Schizosaccharomyces pombe: one gene and its partners. Changing the gene in region 4 together with the main gene of any one other region gives a genetic interaction. Each region holds a gene or a part of one and is shown on either strand. Other genes may lie near its edges.

Region 1 (4,333 bases), on a different chromosome or scaffold from region 4:
ACGATATTAGAAACTATATATGTGTACAAAATTTTATTTTTAACATATCATTTTCATTAAAAATCATCAATTTGAATTTCTTTTTATTTTAATTTTAAATCAGTTTAGTAGTTACCGTGCAGTGCGTAAATATTGAAAATTGAATCTAGGCTCATTTAAAGCGTTTTACTAGCGATAAATATAATAATGAAACATAAAATAACACGCACTAACTTGTTACCGCAGTCGAATGAAATGGAGTGAAAATAGGAAAGAATCCTTTTGTGGTTCGAATACCAATCTGGTTCTTGAGACAAACAAATCTATTAGGTTTTTATATTTTTATAGTAATGGTACAGCTATTCGGTGGGGCTCTTTGTGCTGATTTCCCTCCTAAATTTCTCGATGCTAGCGTTTTGCGTCAGATTCCTGACAACCAAGAGGTGTTTTTGCAAGATTCCAAGGAAAACCTAACAGTGATCATTGAGCTTTTGGAAAAAATTGAGAAGCCATTTGATGGAAGTGTGGCAGCTTACCATTTCAATAGCATTGCATTCGATAATGATGCATCTCAAAGAGTAATTTGGAGAGACAAAAGTCTTGGTGAAGACGACTTTGAGGGCATGAGAAGCGAAAAGGCTAGTGGATCTTCTGTACAAGGTTGTCAGAGGGTCCTTGAAAAAGGAAAGCGAAATCCTGAATCCGCTACCAATGTGGCAATCTTCGTGAATGTGATAACTTTGATTGACTTTCAAACAGATATCGTAATCTCCGTAAATGCTCCTTTACCTAACACTTCCTCAGTTCCCTCTTCTGTTGAAAACATTCCCCCTTCTGATCAAAGCATCGTTCGCGCTGCTCTCGAAACAATACAGCGAGTTACTCGATCTCTTGTACTTGTCGATAAAACAGTATTTGCTTAAAGGATGATGGACATAGGCAAGCAAATTAACTAGCCCACAACACTTAATTAAGATTTTCATCTAGGGAAATACTTTTCAAGTTTTATTTTTCTTTATCCGAAAGGAATTGTTTCTCTTATTTATAAAAACCGGTTATTCCAACTTGTATGAAGGGTTTTAATAAAAACATCTGATACTTGATAACCGATTAGCAATGGTTTTCACTTTTTCTGCTATTATTTTAATTTTCCCATTCTTCCATTGTTAATAGTATAAGTTTCACTGTGTCTTTACAGTTTAATGTTTTATGATTTGAGAGTACAACGTAAAACGCTAGTTTCCAAAGAATAACGGAAATTACAATTTCAAGGTGTTTTGATTGTACAGCTTTTGTCCTTTACACTGCCGCTGTAGGACAGTGGTGATTAAAACAAGTTAATCATAAAGAATTATTAAACATTAAAATACTTTCTAATTGTCCCTAACTCCGTGCAAGTAAAGAACAAATATAGCGAATGAAACAATCTTTATGATTGAAACCTGTAAACGACTGACTAGAAAATACTGAATAAGAATTACCAAAAGATAGAAGATCTCTTCATTGAGAGGAGCTTTTCCACCCTTTGCAATAAAGAAAACAAACATTTAGGATATCATCATACGAAGAAGAACAGAAAAGAAGTAAAAGACAGAAAGTTCATCCCCCAAGACGGGTTCCTTTTCCGGGGAAAGAAGAAAAGGTCGACAGAGGTTCCGCAATGGGGAGTTGAGCATGCGACAGTTGATCAAAAGAGTGATAGTTTTTTACCCAAGACTGGAAGATTGGGTCCACATTTTGAGCCCAGCTTTTTAAGGGGATAGAACCAAGCATGAAAGGAGTACAATACCCCATAACAGCTCCGGATGCATGCCCGATAAAGCTAGCTTTTGGAACCAATATGGTAGTCATAATTAGGTAAATAATAGGAAAACAATATGCAGGAATGCTGAAAAGATTAAAAAAGCTGATTCTAAAAAATAAGTTAATAAACCGCCATCATTTAAAAGACAAGAGAGGTTCGACGTTTGCAAAAAATCATACAAACCAGGTTGTTTCTTAACATTGTGAGGAAAGAAGACGTGTGGAAGTATGCATCTGCAACCATAATTATAAGAAATGCTTACAATCGTTGTGGAGAGTGAACACAGGAAGCAGAGATAAAAGCAAAAGCCCATCCACTAAGTCCAGCAATAGAAACGTAATCTTTTCTCAAGAAAAAATGGTAGACAATTAAATGCATAATACCCGGGAAAAGAGTGTAAGGAATGACCGTCACCAAAATGCACGCCAAAGTGCCTTGCTTCTTTTCAAATTGAGACATTGCTGGCAACAGGGATACAAAGTTAAATACAATATGCAACATTGAAAGATGAAGAGTTACATAAGTTATAATTTCATACACTACTCTCTCCGTTATTAATTAAAGTACCAAGGAATTTTAACTTACGCTGCCTTTTTTGCAACAATCCTATCCAGCTAAGAGACAGAACCCCCGTGGATATTCCAAAGAAGGAAAGTGCATACACCAGAATGGCGATATAAGTTATTATTTGCGTCCATATCGGTAATTTCAGAATGAACTCCTTTGATCGTCCTAGAATCATGAAAATCATCGAGAAGCTACTAATTTAATATCCGTACAATTTTGATTTAATAAATTTTTCAAAATTAGTTCAAAGGGGACTGAAATACGATCTGGATACGCTAATGCGGCATATGGTTCACGAAGGAAGATCCGGTCACCTGAAGCGAATATGAGAGCTCGCCTTACGTTTGCAGACAAACCAAAGGAAAGCCAAGGGTTTTATTCAAAAATATTGGTTTTATTTTAAAATCGCACGCTTACCGTGTGGAGTGTGAGCTATTTCTACTCATTAGCACAAAAAACAATATAACCGGTTTAAGAATATATATGAGAAAAGAATTATGACTTTTAGTCGTGATTCGAAAACGAATAGCACTTTAAAAACAATTAAAAATTCTAGATATAAGAAGTTGTAGCTTCCAATTTCAATGCTAATATTATATTAGAAATATCAAATTTTTCAGGGGTGGTAACGACTAGGGAGATCGATGTCAAAGACAATATGAGTGAAAAAACTAGTCATTAGTATAAATTTCATTGAGTCTAAAACTGTTTAAGTCAAGGTCGTTAAGGCTGTTCGGTGCAAGCAATAAACGACTCGAAAACACATAATAATGGTAATTTAAATGGCACTCAAAAATCCGTCGAAAAAGGTTCATTAATAAGTCTTACAGCATAAGAAGGACCACACAACTGACATTCTTTCAAAATGTTTTTTTCTGATGCCAGTTTGTAAGTTTTTTCTAGCATACAACTGCGATGAAAAGCATGCTGACAAGGAAATAAAACAAATGGTTCGGAAAAAAGAGGTTGGTTGCAGTGCCAGCATGATTCATTGGGCTCCAAAACAATGTACCTATTACGCATATTTTCAGCGTTAGTTTGTATTTCATGCGCAACTTCTGATGCTTGTCCGATTTCGAAGTCCAGCTGTTCAATTCTTTTCATGCAATGATCCAGTTCATCACACACATTATCACTTAAATCGTCCAGTTTTATATCTTCTGGCAATAGGCGAATAAGCTCGGGAAGTTGTAAAACCTCGGAATTCTCTAAAAATCTCAAGGTTTCTTTAATTCCACTTTTTTTGGAAAACATATATTTTGCAATAGTCTGCCACAAAGTTTTTTTCAACACAACATCTTCCTCTGGAATATTTGCTATCGTAGCAGCTAATTCACAATCATCTGCTTCTAAGGCTAATTCCACTCCTTGGCTATACAGCTTCATAAGCACCAGAATTTTTACTGCACTTCTCCGACAGTTAAATTGCAAGCATAATCGAATTCCTAAATCCATATCGTACAAAGGATGATTTCCTTGCTGTTCAATATAATTCATTAAGTAAGACTCATTAGAACTCGAATGACAAGCGTAAATGCAGAACAATGTATTATGAATAGATGGATCTACGCACCCCAAAACACCAGTAACGTATCTAAGGTATCTTATGGCCGCATTTTCCTCTACCGGTACGTGAGAACGCTGATTATAACTCAAGAGGGATGGTATCAATGCATGTACGTCCAAATCTGTTTGACGTTCCCAAATGCTGACAGTTTCATTCGGTCGATGAGTTAAAAGGGCAGTCGCATGCTGAATGAGGGTTTCTTGACTGACGCCTTCATTTAATGTCTCCAACGCTTTTTCATAGTTCTCTCTTTGTACCCAATAGTGCATTATGTAAGACTGGTCTTTCATAACGGTAGCAATTTGAAGTAACTGTTCTTCCTTACCATAGTTATTAGCAAGATTATAAGCTGCTTCACGATTTATCTCATCTTTGTATTGATTAAGAAGAGTTGAAAACTCCCGTTGAACCTGTTG
Region 2 (3,437 bases), on a different chromosome or scaffold from region 4:
TTTTATTCAGCATTATGTTTTATGTTTTCTATTTATAGAATCATTAGTCTTTAGTTAGCCTTACAGCTTCATCTTGCACAATAATTTTGGCTGATCAACTCTTATTCTAGGGACAGTTTGAAAAATCATACCTTGTCTCGTATTTTAGACTTTTAGGATCTGTGGCTCTAATTTGTGACAAAGAACATAATTACATGTTGGACCGTACTTAACGCACCTCAGTCCTTCTTTGATCTCTTGGCTCTGTGAAGATAAACAAAACGTACAAATCCGTTAATGGTTATAACGACGATGAGAATACTCAATACTCGGTAAAATCAAATGTGTTGCTGTTCATTTTAGCGTACTGCCTAGCGCGGATTTGTTTGATAGACTCATTCCAAGATTGTCGATCTACTACGAATGATTTGCAACCGCTTGGAAGCCGAGTAACTGTTTGTCGCTAACTTAAAAGATTTCCTGTTATGCTTTTTTCACTAGTAAAATGAAGTATGCTATAACTTTTCCTTACCATTAAAACACAATAAAAAGCGAAAAACACATAAACAAAATCAAAATACTTATGAATTCCGTTATTTGTTAGAAAATATGTTTAGTATAAGTTTAAAATAAAAAAAAAAAATAAAAAAAACAATTTACAATATTTTATCTAGTATAAAGACTTTTATTGCTTAAGCGTTTCTAATTAAATGTTTTTAGAGGATAAATTTAACCCCTATTTTTAAATCCCACGATTTAAATAACGATTATATATATATCAGTTGAATCCCTCATCCAAAGGACAAACTGGTATAAGTTCAATGGGCTGACACCAACTTGGCATGCCTTCCTCGTTATTAAAAACATTGATTGTAGGACTATCTAACAATAACGCAGAGAATCCGGGAGTACATGTTGCTACTTGAACATTATATAGAGTAGAATTCATCAGTTGGTTGCTAAGACCCGTTATCCGACTTGAATTTTGTGCTGTATACGCCCATGCATCAAAAGAAATTTCACTGGTAACAGTATTCACAAAAGGGATCATTGCATTTTCAATACTTTGAGGATTGCATGTTTTCAAATACGTTGTAAATGTCAAGGGAGTAAAGTTGGCCGTGTCGTTTTCAGCTATCGTAAACAAACGTGGAATAAGTCGAGGTTCTTGTTCCAACATACGCTGAAAAAATTCACCTTTACTTTCAGTCAAAGCATCAAGACCTATAAATGATTTTTCACCAACGTATGTAGCATTCGTTCCTACTACTTTCAGTAGATACGTACCACAATGCGGACCGCGTAGTCTACTACACTCAAGATCAGTGAGGTTGAAGCGTATGGCGGTAGCGAGCCCAATGAAAAAGAGAGATATTAAGTTTTTGAAAATCATATGGAAATATCTTTTGAATGTTTGTAAAGAAATGTTTGATTTTAGTCGGTTTATATAGTTTTTTTTTTCTTTTTTCAGCAACAAAAATAGATTAACTCGTACATATATAAAATGAGATATTTTCGCGTAGATCATGATCGTCGCAATTTCAAACGTTGCAAATCACCTTTTTCTTTTTGAAATGTCACCAAAAGTGGTAACAACTGCAAATCGTTGAGGTAACGTGGTTTTCCCACTAGTCAATAACGAATACCAATTTTTATGTGATTGCGAATTTATCGGCGAGTTGTGACACATTTGTCTCAGAAAACACACGCTTTTTTGGTCTTTTCTCTACTGCTCAAATTTGTTGCTCTTTTTGTTGTGTAGATCTTCCCTCTGATTTTCAAACAAAATTTGCGGTTTCCCACCCATTGTTATCAACGTCTATTATTCTTGGAAAATCTTCCATTACATTATTGAATTTGAATAACGAGGCCAAAACAAACAAATGAAAATCTGCTAATTCACGAAATGGTACTGGTTCCATTAGATAAGGAAAAATTCGAAAAAAAATTATGTTTCTTCAGTCGTAGTATGCCTACTGGATTATCATTAGCAATATGAGTAGCTTTTATCCCGTTTATTATATTATAAACGATTCGGATTCCTATCGATTTATTCTAAAATAAAATACCCGTCAGTTATTTACTTGGATTTTAACTTAGAAGCCAAAAAACGAATCTTCAACCAGACTGAACTGGAAAACATTAATTAAAGAGATTCTCGGTTGTAGATAGTTGTAATTGTTTCTGTTTCTGTTCTGAAAACTTGTTAATATAGTAATCCCCCACTCTTTTTCCATATTTAGTCTTTGAAGAAAGCGAAGCAATTCTTATACTACTCGTCTTTAACGAGTTGCATATATACCGCCCTATTTTTTTGCAGTTTCCTTTAAAAAATCTCATTAGAATGTTTCAATGCATACTTAATAAATCAATTTTATCAAATGCTTTGTTGTGAATATATTCTTAAAACTCATTCATTTCTTGTAAAGAAATCTTTCTTTATATGAAATTTGAAATATTCGAAATTTCATCTTTATAACTAGGTATTTCTCAATACTTTTACATAAATTAAGAAGGGAAAAAATTTGGGTTTCCTTTTTAAATCAGTTAGAGGCGAAACCTCTAACGCTTTTCATGGCTTCGTGTTAAATGTGTAATTATTTTTAAGAAGAAATACAAACACAATTAACAGATGTTGCATAACATTACTTTAGATTTGAATTTCACCTCTTAGATATCATCCATTCACATGTCAAGTAGGTGCAGTTTGTGGTTAACATATATTATTACATCTGTATTTAACAAAGTCTAGAGCAAAGAAGATATTTTCAAAATGCTGGAAGGAGAAATTTAGAATGTATGACTTACCTTGTGAAACCCTAGTATATTACGTTTTCGTAGTAAAACTAGTAGCAGGTGAAATTTTAGAGTAGTTTGTTGACGAATGTTTGTTTCAATTTTATCGCTTAAAAATTAAATTTGTTTTAGATTCATCTATTTCCATTATAATTTTTCTTTTTTGTAACATTATTCAAGTAAGGTTATGTGTATCAAAACAATAACTTCTGACTAACTACTCGAATAACAACCAAGTATTCCACTATGATTTTTAATGATGAGCCAATATTCAAGATTGATATAATTTCCAAGAGATGTTTACAAATTCCAGTTTATAATTCCCTTACGCTTTTCTTCCTCTGTATCTCTTGAAAGCCCGTTCTACTGCATTTGCTAAAAATGCAATAAATGTATGAAAGTTAAACTCAATAATCAAAGTCTTTATGTAGTATTACAGTTATGAATTATTGCGACATTTCATCTTCAGCCTTACTCAAAATCTGAAGGATTCAACATATGGCAATTTATTTGTTTTTATCATGGGAAGCACTAACGATGAAAACATCAATAGACCATAAATCATCATTTCTATATGAAAATGTAATATAATTTCTAATACAGGAATTCCTTCTTATACATTTATTTGTAACATTGCTTCATGCTTTTTTCCCTTTCATTTT
Region 3 (5,016 bases), on a different chromosome or scaffold from region 4:
CCTATCGTGACAAACCACTTGTGTGGAAACACCAAAGGTGGATGAATGTTTTTTTTCTATCGATAATAAGTTTAAAATAATCAGAATGAAAATGTTAGAAGAAAAGAGAATGAAGAAACTTCAAGTATACAATTTTAACAGATTATACACGCCATAAAATGAATCATAAAAATGCTAACTCTAAAAAAGAGTAAAGGTAGTAAGCAAAATGCCTAAAATCTTACCAAAACGAGGATAAGCGCAACGAGGCAAAAGAAGGCGAGCCACATCCAAATTGAAATTCCTCCATTCTTCGAAACATTCTTTAATCGAGTCATTGTCCCGCTCAAAAGTGACTTGGTCGAGTCAAATGAGTCGTTCATTGACTCCATCAACTTAGTAGAAGACGTTATCTCAGTCCCAATATTCATAGTAAGCTATTAAAATTAGTTAGCATGTTTTTCCTGATGATGGCAAAAATCTTACCTCTTTCAAAGACTTGACTTTTCCAGTTAACTTTGAAATCCGTTCATCATTTTCATTTTCCAAGGAGTCTAAATGCTGAGGAGATTGAGACTCATACAAGGGCAACATATCGCCATTGCGTTCTTTTCTTCTACCGAATCTAATGATTAGTTAGACATTGATTGATCAGATTTAGTACATACCTTGATCCCATTCTGAAGCTTTTTTTAAAATCTTTCCCTTTACCGAATATGAAAAGTATTTGGTGTAGCGCAACTTCCAAATCCTAAGATCTCTTTGTTATGTATTGGTTTTGTGCGCAAAGTCAGCTCATCAAATAACATGCGACGCAACTCAGGAGTTGCGTGTAGAGGTAACACATTGTTGTACTAAGTGACAAATCTCATTTTGCTCTGTTTTTACATTAATCTAAACAATTTTTTTTTTACCGCAGACGAAACAGAGATGATAGTTATGGGTTTAGTAAAAATAAGTATAGATCCCTTCTTGAGCCTGTAGAATATTGAATTTGAGCATCAATTTTGAATGATTTTTCTTTGTGGTGCTGATCCATAATGTGTTACTGGGGCAACTGTAATGTAAACAAATCAACGTGCTTTGTTTACATTTGTAGAAGTGAAATACCGGTGGTTAAAATACCACAGAAAGCAATAGATATGATAATATGGCAAATCGATGGATATTTTTCTTTGCTACAGCCGAAATTAAATAGTATGTAAAACTTGATGATCCAGCGGTCAACTCCAACAGAGCTAATATTTTTTACGCTACTTGCCCATAATACAGTGTGAAAAATAGCGATCTATTTAATCGATGAAATTTATCATTTATTAATGAATTATTTCTTATGCAATTGATATTATATCTTTTATTGCAAAGGTAGGCAATAAAGACTGGTTTAGAGCCACGCAAATGATAGTGTAAAAAAAGAAACATGCTCCTTGTGTATATTACTTCTAGCAATGGAGGTACAAACTTTTCAGTTTTGAATAAAAACGGAATGTAAGAACCAATGGGGAACGAAAACAATAAAATAAAATTCTGGGAAGAAGAAATTTAGAAATGAATAGCACGACTGACTCAATTCTTTGGCAAGAACTTGACCGGAACGAGCTGAATATAAACAAACAGCACGATTTAAATTTTGTCCTCTAATTATGTCTTTTCAGTAAAGCATGTATGAGGTTTACACAATATGTCTATTTAAAAAGAAGGCATTAAAACTCAACTTCTAGGCAAAATGGAATAGCTCAAAACAATAGCTAAACCTCAAAGTGTATTAGTGTAGCAATCCGGCCATCCATAGACAAAAAAGAAAGCCAGGAATTATTAAAGATATTTGTGGAACTTTAAAACGTCAACAGATGGTTTGGAATTTAAGACTAAAAGACGTAGTGTAAGAGAGGAATTGATGAAAAGTAAAGTCAAAAAATCAAGGAGCTGGTTCTTCATCTAAAACACGCCTCAGTTGAGCACTGTATTGAGGTTGCAACGAAGATGGAATGTATTCATAATCTTTGTTGGGAACAGGAGAACGAAAGGAGAGAGGAAGAGGTGAGGGAGAAGCACATTGAACAATATTAGTGGAGAAAGATTGTGGAGTCTTTGGATTCCGCTCAGCAGGTAAGGGAATGGATGAATAATTAGGAGTAATGGGATTAACCGGTTGAGTTTGTGACACCATAGGAGATGTAACCTGTGGAGGTGCTGTAGCAGAAGCGGCGGCAGCAGCAGCAGCTCGCTTTTGCTAATAATAGTTAGTCAATCGAATTTTCAATCATTTGTTAAGGTTAAACTAACGTATCACCTTATCATTTTCTTTTCAAAACTTACGTATTTTAATATCATCCAGTCAAAAACATAGTCATACTGGTATCCTTTACGAATAAGTAAATCACGAAACAGCTTTCTCAAATAAGCATAGTTTGGCTTCTCGGTAAACGAAAGCTGACGAGTGTAACACATGTAAGTGATAAACTCTTCGGGAAGACCTTTGCAAAGGACTTCCAAAGGAGTGCCAATCTTGGTATCACGTATCCGTTGATACTTTTGCTCCTTTGTATCAGCTTGTAAGCCTTGCCAGGGCAAACTGCCGCGACAAAAATAAAGTAAAACATAACCTAACGATTCGAGGTCATCACGGCGAGATTGTTCAATACCAATATGGGTGTTAATACTAGCATATCGAGCCGTTCCCGTAAGATTCTTATTATCTCGATATGGAATATGAACATGAGTTTTAAAATCCCTGTATTTTTTCGCCAATCCGAAGTCAATCATCGTAACAACATTGCTGTGCTTCTTCATTAAAAAATTATCAGGCTTAATGTCTCGATGTAAGAATGACTTGGAGTGAACATATTCAATGCGACTGATGAGTTGATCAGCAAGTAAAAGAACCGTTTTAAGAGTAAACTTTCTTCCACAATAGCAGAATAAATCTTCCAGAGAAGGGCCTAATAAATCCATGACCATAGCATTATAACTATTGGTTACACCGAACCAGCGAATTGTGGGTATGCCAATATTTCCTTTAAGAATATTATACACACGAAACCTAAATGTTAGAAAGAAAAAAGAAAAATAACCAAATGGAGTAACTTTTGCTTTTCCTTTTTGGTTGTAAAACATCGAGCTACGGTTGATAGATATAAAGAAGAAATTGGAGTTCCGAAAGAAATCCAACTTATACTTAAGTAAAAAAATATTAAAGCACTACTTACTCATATTCTAACTGATGATGACGAGCCTTTAAAGGCTCCAATTTCACAGCAACTTGTTCTCCATTTACCGTATTTAATCCCAGGTAAATTTGACCAAAGGAGCCAGAACCAATTTTTCTACCTATACGATATTTATTACCAATCTTAATGTCAACAACCGTCATTTTGCTAAGATTCTAATTCACAGAGATGACTGTGGTTGTTAGAATCGCATCATCACAGAAATCAAAGAGGAAGGCAAATAGAGCGCTGCAACGAGCTATATTTGGAGTAGAAGGATGTTTTGAATACATGATATATACAATGTAATGTGACTAATTTTTTATTTTACTAAGCAATACTTCAATGTCTTTGTTTACTTCCCTCGTCAACTAATTTTTTAAGATGCTCGTTTCTAAAAGAGTGGAATATTTTATTTAATGTTTGTACCATGATTGCCTTAAGGCTGTGGATGTTGATTGTTTCTTTACATGAGACTTAATAAATTTAGTAAGCAAAGCGAATTCAAATTTGTTGGTTCATATTTTTGCAGTGACTTCTACTGAACGCGGATTTTTTTTTTTCTTTTCCGTTAGAATAATATTTGTTTATTCCGAAGTAAGCCGTTTGTGATGTGGCTGAAATGTCACGGAATCATTTGCTCCAACAGATATTTTACCCTTCAATTGTTTGTGCATTACATTGTAGCATGAAGTACCTGAGTGGGAGCTTGTTCTGACTTTCTTCCGAAAAGTACAAAATATGAATGACATGTGGTTTTCTAGTGGAAAGAAAAGAGGTTTGGATTAAATTTATTGATACAAAAAGCAATAATGTTTTGTTTACATTATGAAGAATGTGGAATTCTAGCATATTTTTTCATATCCTCAAAGAGAATCACTTCAAAGTGATTTGTTTTGTAAACAAAGCAAACAAATCCAAAATGATTTTCTATGAACGTTCAGGATTTTACTTACAGAATCATATTGAACTGCTATTCTCTTTCAATAGTTTTTCCGATGATTCTTTTTTGGAGTGAATGCAAAAAACGATCGCCTACATGGCGAAGTAGTATTGAAAACGAAAAATGCTAATACTGCTTTATTTTTAGTAAAAGCCTCAGTTCTAGAGAATACAATACCAGCTTCAATATAGAAGTGTATACTAAACCTTCTGTAATACGTTATTTTACAGCTTTTGAAATCCGTGCCCAAAGATCTGCTTAATTGGAAACACAAAATAGGAACAATATGTTTGAGGTACTTTTTCTGAGGATTATCAAATTATCTAGGTAAATTAAAAGATTACAAAATGAGCGAATTAAATGACGACTAAGTACATAACTTTTCAGTCAAAGTGAATATTTATTTCGTGCAACACATGTATTCCTAAAAAGCATGGAAATTCATTTTTTCCTTCTGTTTATTTGAAAAGTTCATATTTAAATATACATTTAATACTTTAATTTAAATGATTGATCTCCTACAAATAAATTCGATTGATTACAGAACTTTTGATCAATTGTAACTGCTACAAAAACAAGCAGTGTAATTTCATTGACTTCCATTAAATCACATCAAAAGGGCTGAAACATTTTAGGAAGTGAAAGACATGAACTCGTCATCAACTTAATGATCACTTCCGTACTTTCCAGCCTTTGGGTTTCTAGGATCATTGCGATACTCCGCAGCTACATAGAGTTAAAAAATTGTTCTATTTCTATTAAAAACGTACAATCCATCATAGCATCACGAAGCTTTACAGTACCATAGAATACGATGGCTCCTGTCAAGACATGTTAATAATAATTCAAATCGTTGAAAAATATACATACCCCCTAGAAAAAAAG
Region 4 (6,263 bases):
CAAGGACTACCTTATGACCCCCGTCGGTAACCCCGAGGGAGCTGACAAGCCCAACAAGAAGAAGTTCGACCCTCGTGTCTGGATCCATGAGGGTGAGAAGACCATGACCAAGCGTGTTCTTACCGCTCTTGAGGACTTCTACACTGTCAACACTCTCTAAATTTGTGGTTTTTGAAAGATGGAAATGATTGAATAGACGGTGGGCTTCATTAAAATTATATTTTTTTGTCCCCTTAATGAGAGTTCATACTGTTTTGAAATTACGTGTTTGAATATAGAGACATTGTTTTTTAAAATTACCATTGTAAAAGCATAAGAGATATTTGAAGTAAAGTAGGGCAAAGTAAGTTAAGAAATTTTTTTGGATTGGATTTGTAAAGTGTTTTTCAAGCATACTGTATATTGTTAAGATTTTTCTTTTTATCCTTTTATTCATCTTCCTTAATTGGTTAATGTGTTCTTAGGTATATAAATTTACAAAAAAAAAATTTCCGATTCCACATGACAATGAATGAATAAATAATATGTCCGTGCGTTTATTTGAATTTAATATATATCGTTTGGCAAATCTCGATGAGTAGCTTAAAACAACATAATCGCTTGAATTTCATGTGCTTTGTGTACACAGTGTGCATTGTTTAGTAGATCAACTTTTTCTTCTTTCATTGCAATGAGTACGGGCATTTTCCCTTTTCCTCCATATTTCACGAATCCATGTTTTTTTTAGATAACCCTTTCTCAATCAAAACTCAGCATGCTTCTTCAGACTTGACCACTTATATTGTCAGTACACTACTGCTCCTTAAAAGCTTACTCCAAGTCAAGACATCAAGGTTGGAGCAATCATTCTCTTCATGAGGTACTATGGCTGATTTTCTTGCTAGAGATTATCGCTCTCAAGGTGAGGCGGCGCATGAAATGCTGCCGACTTTCCTTATAGGAAAAATCTTGAGAGAACGCATAGTAGATTCTATTTACTGGAAAGAACAATGTTTTGGATTGAATGGTATGTGTTCTTCATTGACAGAAAAGGAAAGTGTTTTTACATATTAGAGTTCAAGTACGATTACTTTCCAAATCGATATTTTGAGTGATATAGCCTAAATGAACTTGATTTGGCAAGCAAAGAAACCAAGTATAGGTACTTGCTGTTTTAATCAGTCCTCAAACTGTTATTCCAAATTCACTGACTAATACATCTTAGCTTGTTCATTGGTGGATCGTGCAGTACGGCTTGAATATATAGGTGGTCAGTATGGAAATCAACGGCCCACCGAGTTTATCTGTTTGTTATACAAGCTTTTACAAATTGCACCTGAAAAAGAAATAATTCAACAGTACCTATCTATTCCTGAATTCAAGTATTTACGTGCCCTGGCTGCATTTTACGTTCGGCTTACATGGGATGATGTGGAAGTGCATCAAACGTTGGAACCGCTGTTAAGAGATTATCGGAAATTAAGAATTCGTACTAATTCTGAGATCCGATTAACATATCTGGATGAGGTTGTTGATGATTTGCTAAATGCCGAAGTAGTTTGCGATATTTCCCTGCCCCCATTGCGAAGTCGACTCCAACTTGAAGATTTGGACTTGCTTGAACCACTTTCATCTTCTTCAGACGAAGAAGATGATGATGAAGAACAAATTAGTAAATTGGAGAGCAATGAAGGTGCTGTAGATCGGAATATTTAAGGATAAGTAATATACAAAAAAAGAGTAAAGCGAAGCACGCATTTTGTGATGCGTCTACGATTTAACTTGGAATGACTCTACAAGGAAAAGTTATGGATTGAAATGGTTTTACACTTGAACTTATTAAAAAACAATTTATGAATAACAAACATCTAATCAAATAGATTTGTATATTAATATATATCGATTTCACATATTATCGCAAATACGCTATTTTTTCTTGTAAACAAATTTCGATAGACTTAGTTTACAGCACACTAAATATTTATAAAATGTCTTTGATACGCCACGGAATTTTTTTCACACCATACTTTAACGAATCACCCCATTCCGTCTATTTTCTTACGTTTCGTTAAAAACATGTCAGTCCACTTCTTTTTTGCTCACATATGAATTAACACGACTTTTCTCTTTCATCCATTACCATACTCGAGCAATCCTAACTTTGCTTATCGGGTGATCGATTTTAAATTTTTTTACTTATAGGACGTCCAGTAGCCTTTATAAGTTCATTGACAACAATTGGGTTGTTGCTGAGAGTTTGTTTACTGCGCTCGACTCTTGCTATAACCTAATCTTAAACGATTATCAAGCTGGATTTCCTTCTTGCTAAGAACATTATTTTATTTTACAACTCATTCAAGAAATTATTTTGCTATCTATCGCCTTGGATAGCTTTTAATGCGTCAAATTTTGGATAATTTGTAGCTCGATTAGAAAATTCGCTCAACATCCTATACAGTCACAGAGATAAAAAACCCTAAGAGTTAAATTCAATTTCTCTTTATTGTTGGATTTTTTAACTCGCTGTTAAATTCCGCTTGGTTCTAGCTGGAAATTTTGTTAAATATGCAAAGCTCAATTCCGTCAGTTTCCGTGTCGGTCGCTTCTCCTGCAATGGAAACTCCAACAAAAGCTTCGCCTGACAGCAAATCACCCAATTCAGTGGGTGCGATTCCTTCTTCATCCCCTTTGGCTTCATCGACAAAGGCTTCAACTTCTACTCCCTTTGTGGAGAATTGTTCCAATCTGTTGTGTGATTTGGCTAGCATTGTCGAGGACTCACCTCCAACCTTGACCAACACCTCGTTGTCTCCCCATTCGTTTTCCCTTTCTGATATGGAGTCATCAATGAGCAATTGGCTTAACCCTTTTGCGTTCGACAATACGATGAACTCGGCGCCTCCTCTGTTTACTTCGACCAACATGGGCTCCCCTAACTCGTTAGAAAACTCTACAAATCCTCTTCTCTCTAATTGCGGCTCTCCAAATTCATTTCAGAATGAGACCTTTACCGGCCCATCATTGAATGAGTTCGATGCCGATGATAAAATTCAGCGCCAAATGAAAATCCTTCACTCTGTTGATACAATCGATCCATCGACTGTTCAAAATTATCCTTCAGCTGATATGTCAAATCCAGAAGTCAAATTGAAAACCGAAGAAATTATTACACCCATGGACACCACTTGCAAGCCTGAACCTTCTGCCAAGAAAATAAAGTTGTCTCCTTCCTCGGAAGATTCTTGCTCAATTCCTGAAACATTACCTTTTTCGGCCCCCAAGTCTAGAGGCTCATTATCTCCTTCTGAAACCCCAGATTTTGTAGCCGGTCCTGGAGGAAAACCAAAGAAGACAGCTCATAACATGATTGAGAAGAGATACAGAACCAACTTGAACGACCGAATTTGTGAATTGCGTGATGCAGTTCCTTCACTTCGTGCTGCTGCTGCACTTCGTTGTGGTAATTCTCTGGACGATGAGGATTTGGGGGGTTTGACACCCGCTCGTAAGCTTAACAAGGGTACAATATTGGCAAAAGCAACTGAGTATATCAGACATTTGGAGGCCAAGAATAAGGAACTACAGAAGACTAACAAGCAGCTTTCAGATAGGCTGGCTTTCTACGAAGATCCTTCGATGGCTCCTCCTTCTAACGATACTCGAGCCGTTAACTCTGTTAATGTTGTTTCCTCATCTGACTATTCTGTTCACCAATCTTCTCGACCAAACCTAACCCAAAGAGCTTTTACTTCCCCAACCCTAAATACCATGGGCCGCACAGCACTAAATGGCATGGTTGGACTTGGTCTATTCAATTATTTTGGAAACGATTCTTCTCAATCTGTTTATGGTTTATTCGCTCTTCCACCTTTTCTTATGTCTCCATTCACAGGTACTGTTCTCTTTAACATGCTGAAAATTGGTGTTGTTTTACTCGGTTTATTCTATCTTTTGCACGATAACTCTCTTTTCAAAGGCTTCAAGGGTGAAAAGAAATCTAAAGTTAGTACCAGATCTTCCATGTCACCATCCTCAATCTTATTCCGAAAAACCGTATTCGAAAAGTATTGTTTATTGGACCATTCTACTTCGACTATTTCTCTATTTTTTGGATTACTGATCTTCACTCTTAAATCTGCTTATGGCTATTTGACTCATCGTTTGAGTGCTCTTTATACCTCCTCTGAGAATTGGGTTTATAGTGAGCAACAACTTGCTGAAGTTCGCAACATGGAAAAGCTTTTGGATGCCCAATTAATGGGTGGTGATGCTAAAGTTGACCGTTTGAGGCTCTTAATGGTATTTGCCAGTTCATTTTCTCTTCCTCCTTCAAGTCATACTTGTGCTTTACAAGCAATGTATTGCCAACTAATTTTTTCCAACACCTCTGTCCCATCCGCTATCGTTTCGAAGTGCGTTGCTTTCTTCTGGAATGCTGCAAAGAAACAACATAGCAAAAGTTCTGTACACGCGGAGTTACGTGAGCTTCCTGAGTGTACTGCTAACCTAATTGAAAACTCCCACGCTGACGACGTTTTCTCTCCGAATATGGTTGAGCGATTGTGGGTTCTAGCAAAGTGCACCCGTGACTCTGCTCAAATGTCAGATAGTATTATTAGCTCCTTATCTGATGTTTTGGTTTTATCTCCTCTAGAGGTGCTTGCCTCATGGTATGCCGCTGATTTGTTGGATGCCCTTTTGATGGAAAGTTTGAGCCGTAAAGTTGAGATATCCGAGATTGAGGAAATTATTTCCCTTTGTCCTAAGAACTCCTCTATTATTCGTCATGCTTTACTAGCTAAATTGGTTTTGTTCCCCGAGAATACAGCTGATTCTTTGAATGAAGTCCTTGCAGCATACAAGAACACTTTGGATTTATGCAGCCAAGATAAACGCAAGCAGTCAAGCGTGTTAAAGATCAACTTATCCAAGCTATTCACACTCCACTCATGCCTATCATTAGCACTCCAACGCCTTGGATACGGGGATGTTTCTAAACGTATGTATCAGGAAATCTTTGTACCTGATAGTGATGCAGACATTACACCTTTATCTTTTATTATTTCCTGGACCGCTTTGAACACTTTTGCTCCTATTTGCACATCTCCAAAGGAAAACGATGTCGTTGAAAAGATGGCCATGTACGTGCGGACGGCCATCGGAACTTTGAAAATTCAAGATTTGAAATTATCTCGTAAGTTAATCAACTCTTGCATAGATATTGGATCTCGCTTACAAGAAGATTTGGGTTATGTTTCATCAGCTTAAATTGTCGATTCTCGAGCTTTGAGAACAGTTAGTATACAACGCTCATCTATTGCAACTACCTTATTATTTTCCATGATTGTTATTTCATCAGTTATTTTGCGTATCATTTTTTAGTTTTAATTATTCTTTTAATAAATTACAGTTGTCGTCGGTAAGAGCAGTGATAAAAATATGCAATTAGAGTTATTTTGTTGTATCAAGCTAGCACAATTCACCATTTGAGTATATTTGGTGATTAAATAAAATGAATAGAGTACAATTTGAGGCATGCTAAGGTTCATCGAACTAACTATTTTTTTAAATAATGACACATTGGCAAGATTAAAAAATTGGATTCTTCTCTTGCAGTTAACTCTCTGCTGTTGATGAAGATGTGTTGAATCTTAGACTGCTGATATCCATTTTATACCAATTGTATAAAAAAAAGAATGTCAATTATTAATAAAATGGAAATGCATAAGATAGATAAGAGTGGTCTGAAGTTTTACGGTACAGTACGTAGTTCCGTCCTTACTGAAATCTCGGGAGTAATACGAACCATTCACCAAAGGTAAACAAACTACCAAATTGTTTTTATGTATTATTTACTACTATATTGGTTAACTTATTCTGAATCCTACAACCTAAAATAAAAATAAATAGACTCGCTTTTATTATTTGTCGATTCAAGAACTTAGCTCTCCTTTGAAGATGAACAAACATTTTGCAAAGCTTTCACAATGGACCGGTGAAAAATTTGGTTTTGATCGTCAGAAGACTACATTATCTGATGATTTTTGTTCCTTGAAAGGTGAAACGGATGCCTGGCTTGTGGGAATGGATAAAATTCATAGAAGTTGCACAAGATGGGTACGGAATATGGATAAACGAAAGGGCCTGCTCGACGAGAAAGATAAGCAATTACCTGTTACTCACGTTGGATCGTCTTTTGTAGAGTTAGGGCAAGCATTATCGCATTCTTCAAGCAATTCGCACACTTATATCATGTACGGAAAAAGCATGGTTGAAATAGGGCA

What was found.
Region 1: of sre1 (region 4) and rbd2, a mutation in one rescues a mutant of the other (synthetic rescue), as found in Schizosaccharomyces pombe (2 studies listed by BioGRID, with this or other methods).
Region 2: mutations in sre1 (region 4) and SPOM_SPAC977.05C together harm fitness more than expected from each alone (negative genetic interaction), as found in Schizosaccharomyces pombe (2 studies listed by BioGRID).
Region 3: of sre1 (region 4) and hhp2, extra expression of one rescues a mutant of the other (dosage rescue), as found in Schizosaccharomyces pombe (one study listed by BioGRID).

What each region holds. Positions count from the first base shown.
Region 1 is NC_003421.2:2,244,161-2,248,493, reverse strand, and holds rbd2 (Golgi rhomboid protease Rbd2), read right to left. Parts: upstream 2,647-4,333; 5' UTR 2,535-2,646; coding exon 2,369-2,534; intron 2,323-2,368; coding exon 2,046-2,322; intron 1,892-2,045; coding exon 1,579-1,891; 3' UTR 1,251-1,578; downstream 1-1,250. Other genes in the region: Ran GTPase-binding protein Mog1, read left to right, coding at 330-902; pep3 (ubiquitin-protein ligase E3), read right to left, coding at 3,140-4,333.
Region 2 is NC_003424.3:35,011-38,447, forward strand, and holds SPOM_SPAC977.05C (Vel1p domain-containing protein), read right to left. Parts: upstream 1,373-3,437; coding exon 758-1,372; downstream 1-757.
Region 3 is NC_003424.3:1,047,371-1,052,386, reverse strand, and holds hhp2 (serine/threonine protein kinase (CK1 family) Hhp2), read right to left. Parts: upstream 3,390-5,016; 5' UTR 3,353-3,389; coding exon 3,189-3,352; intron 3,023-3,188; coding exon 2,299-3,022; intron 2,213-2,298; coding exon 1,898-2,212; 3' UTR 1,251-1,897; downstream 1-1,250. Other genes in the region: SNARE protein Bet1, read right to left, coding at 213-416, 466-604, 648-658; atp18 (F0-ATPase subunit J), read right to left, coding at 4,796-4,857, 4,902-4,952, 5,002-5,016. UniProt on the Schizosaccharomyces pombe protein: Involved in DNA repair. May regulate the activity of protein(s) involved in double strand break repair caused by gamma rays.
Region 4 is NC_003423.3:1,689,284-1,695,546, forward strand, and holds sre1 (transcription factor Sre1), read left to right. Parts: upstream 1-2,110; 5' UTR 2,111-2,544; coding exon 2,545-5,247; 3' UTR 5,248-5,408; downstream 5,409-6,263. Other genes in the region: fructose-bisphosphate aldolase Fba1, read left to right, coding at 1-160; U4/U5/U6 small nuclear ribonucleoprotein complex subunit PRP38, read left to right, coding at 865-1,006, 1,205-1,695; SPOM_SPBC19C2.10 (BAR adaptor protein ), read left to right, coding at 5,938-6,263.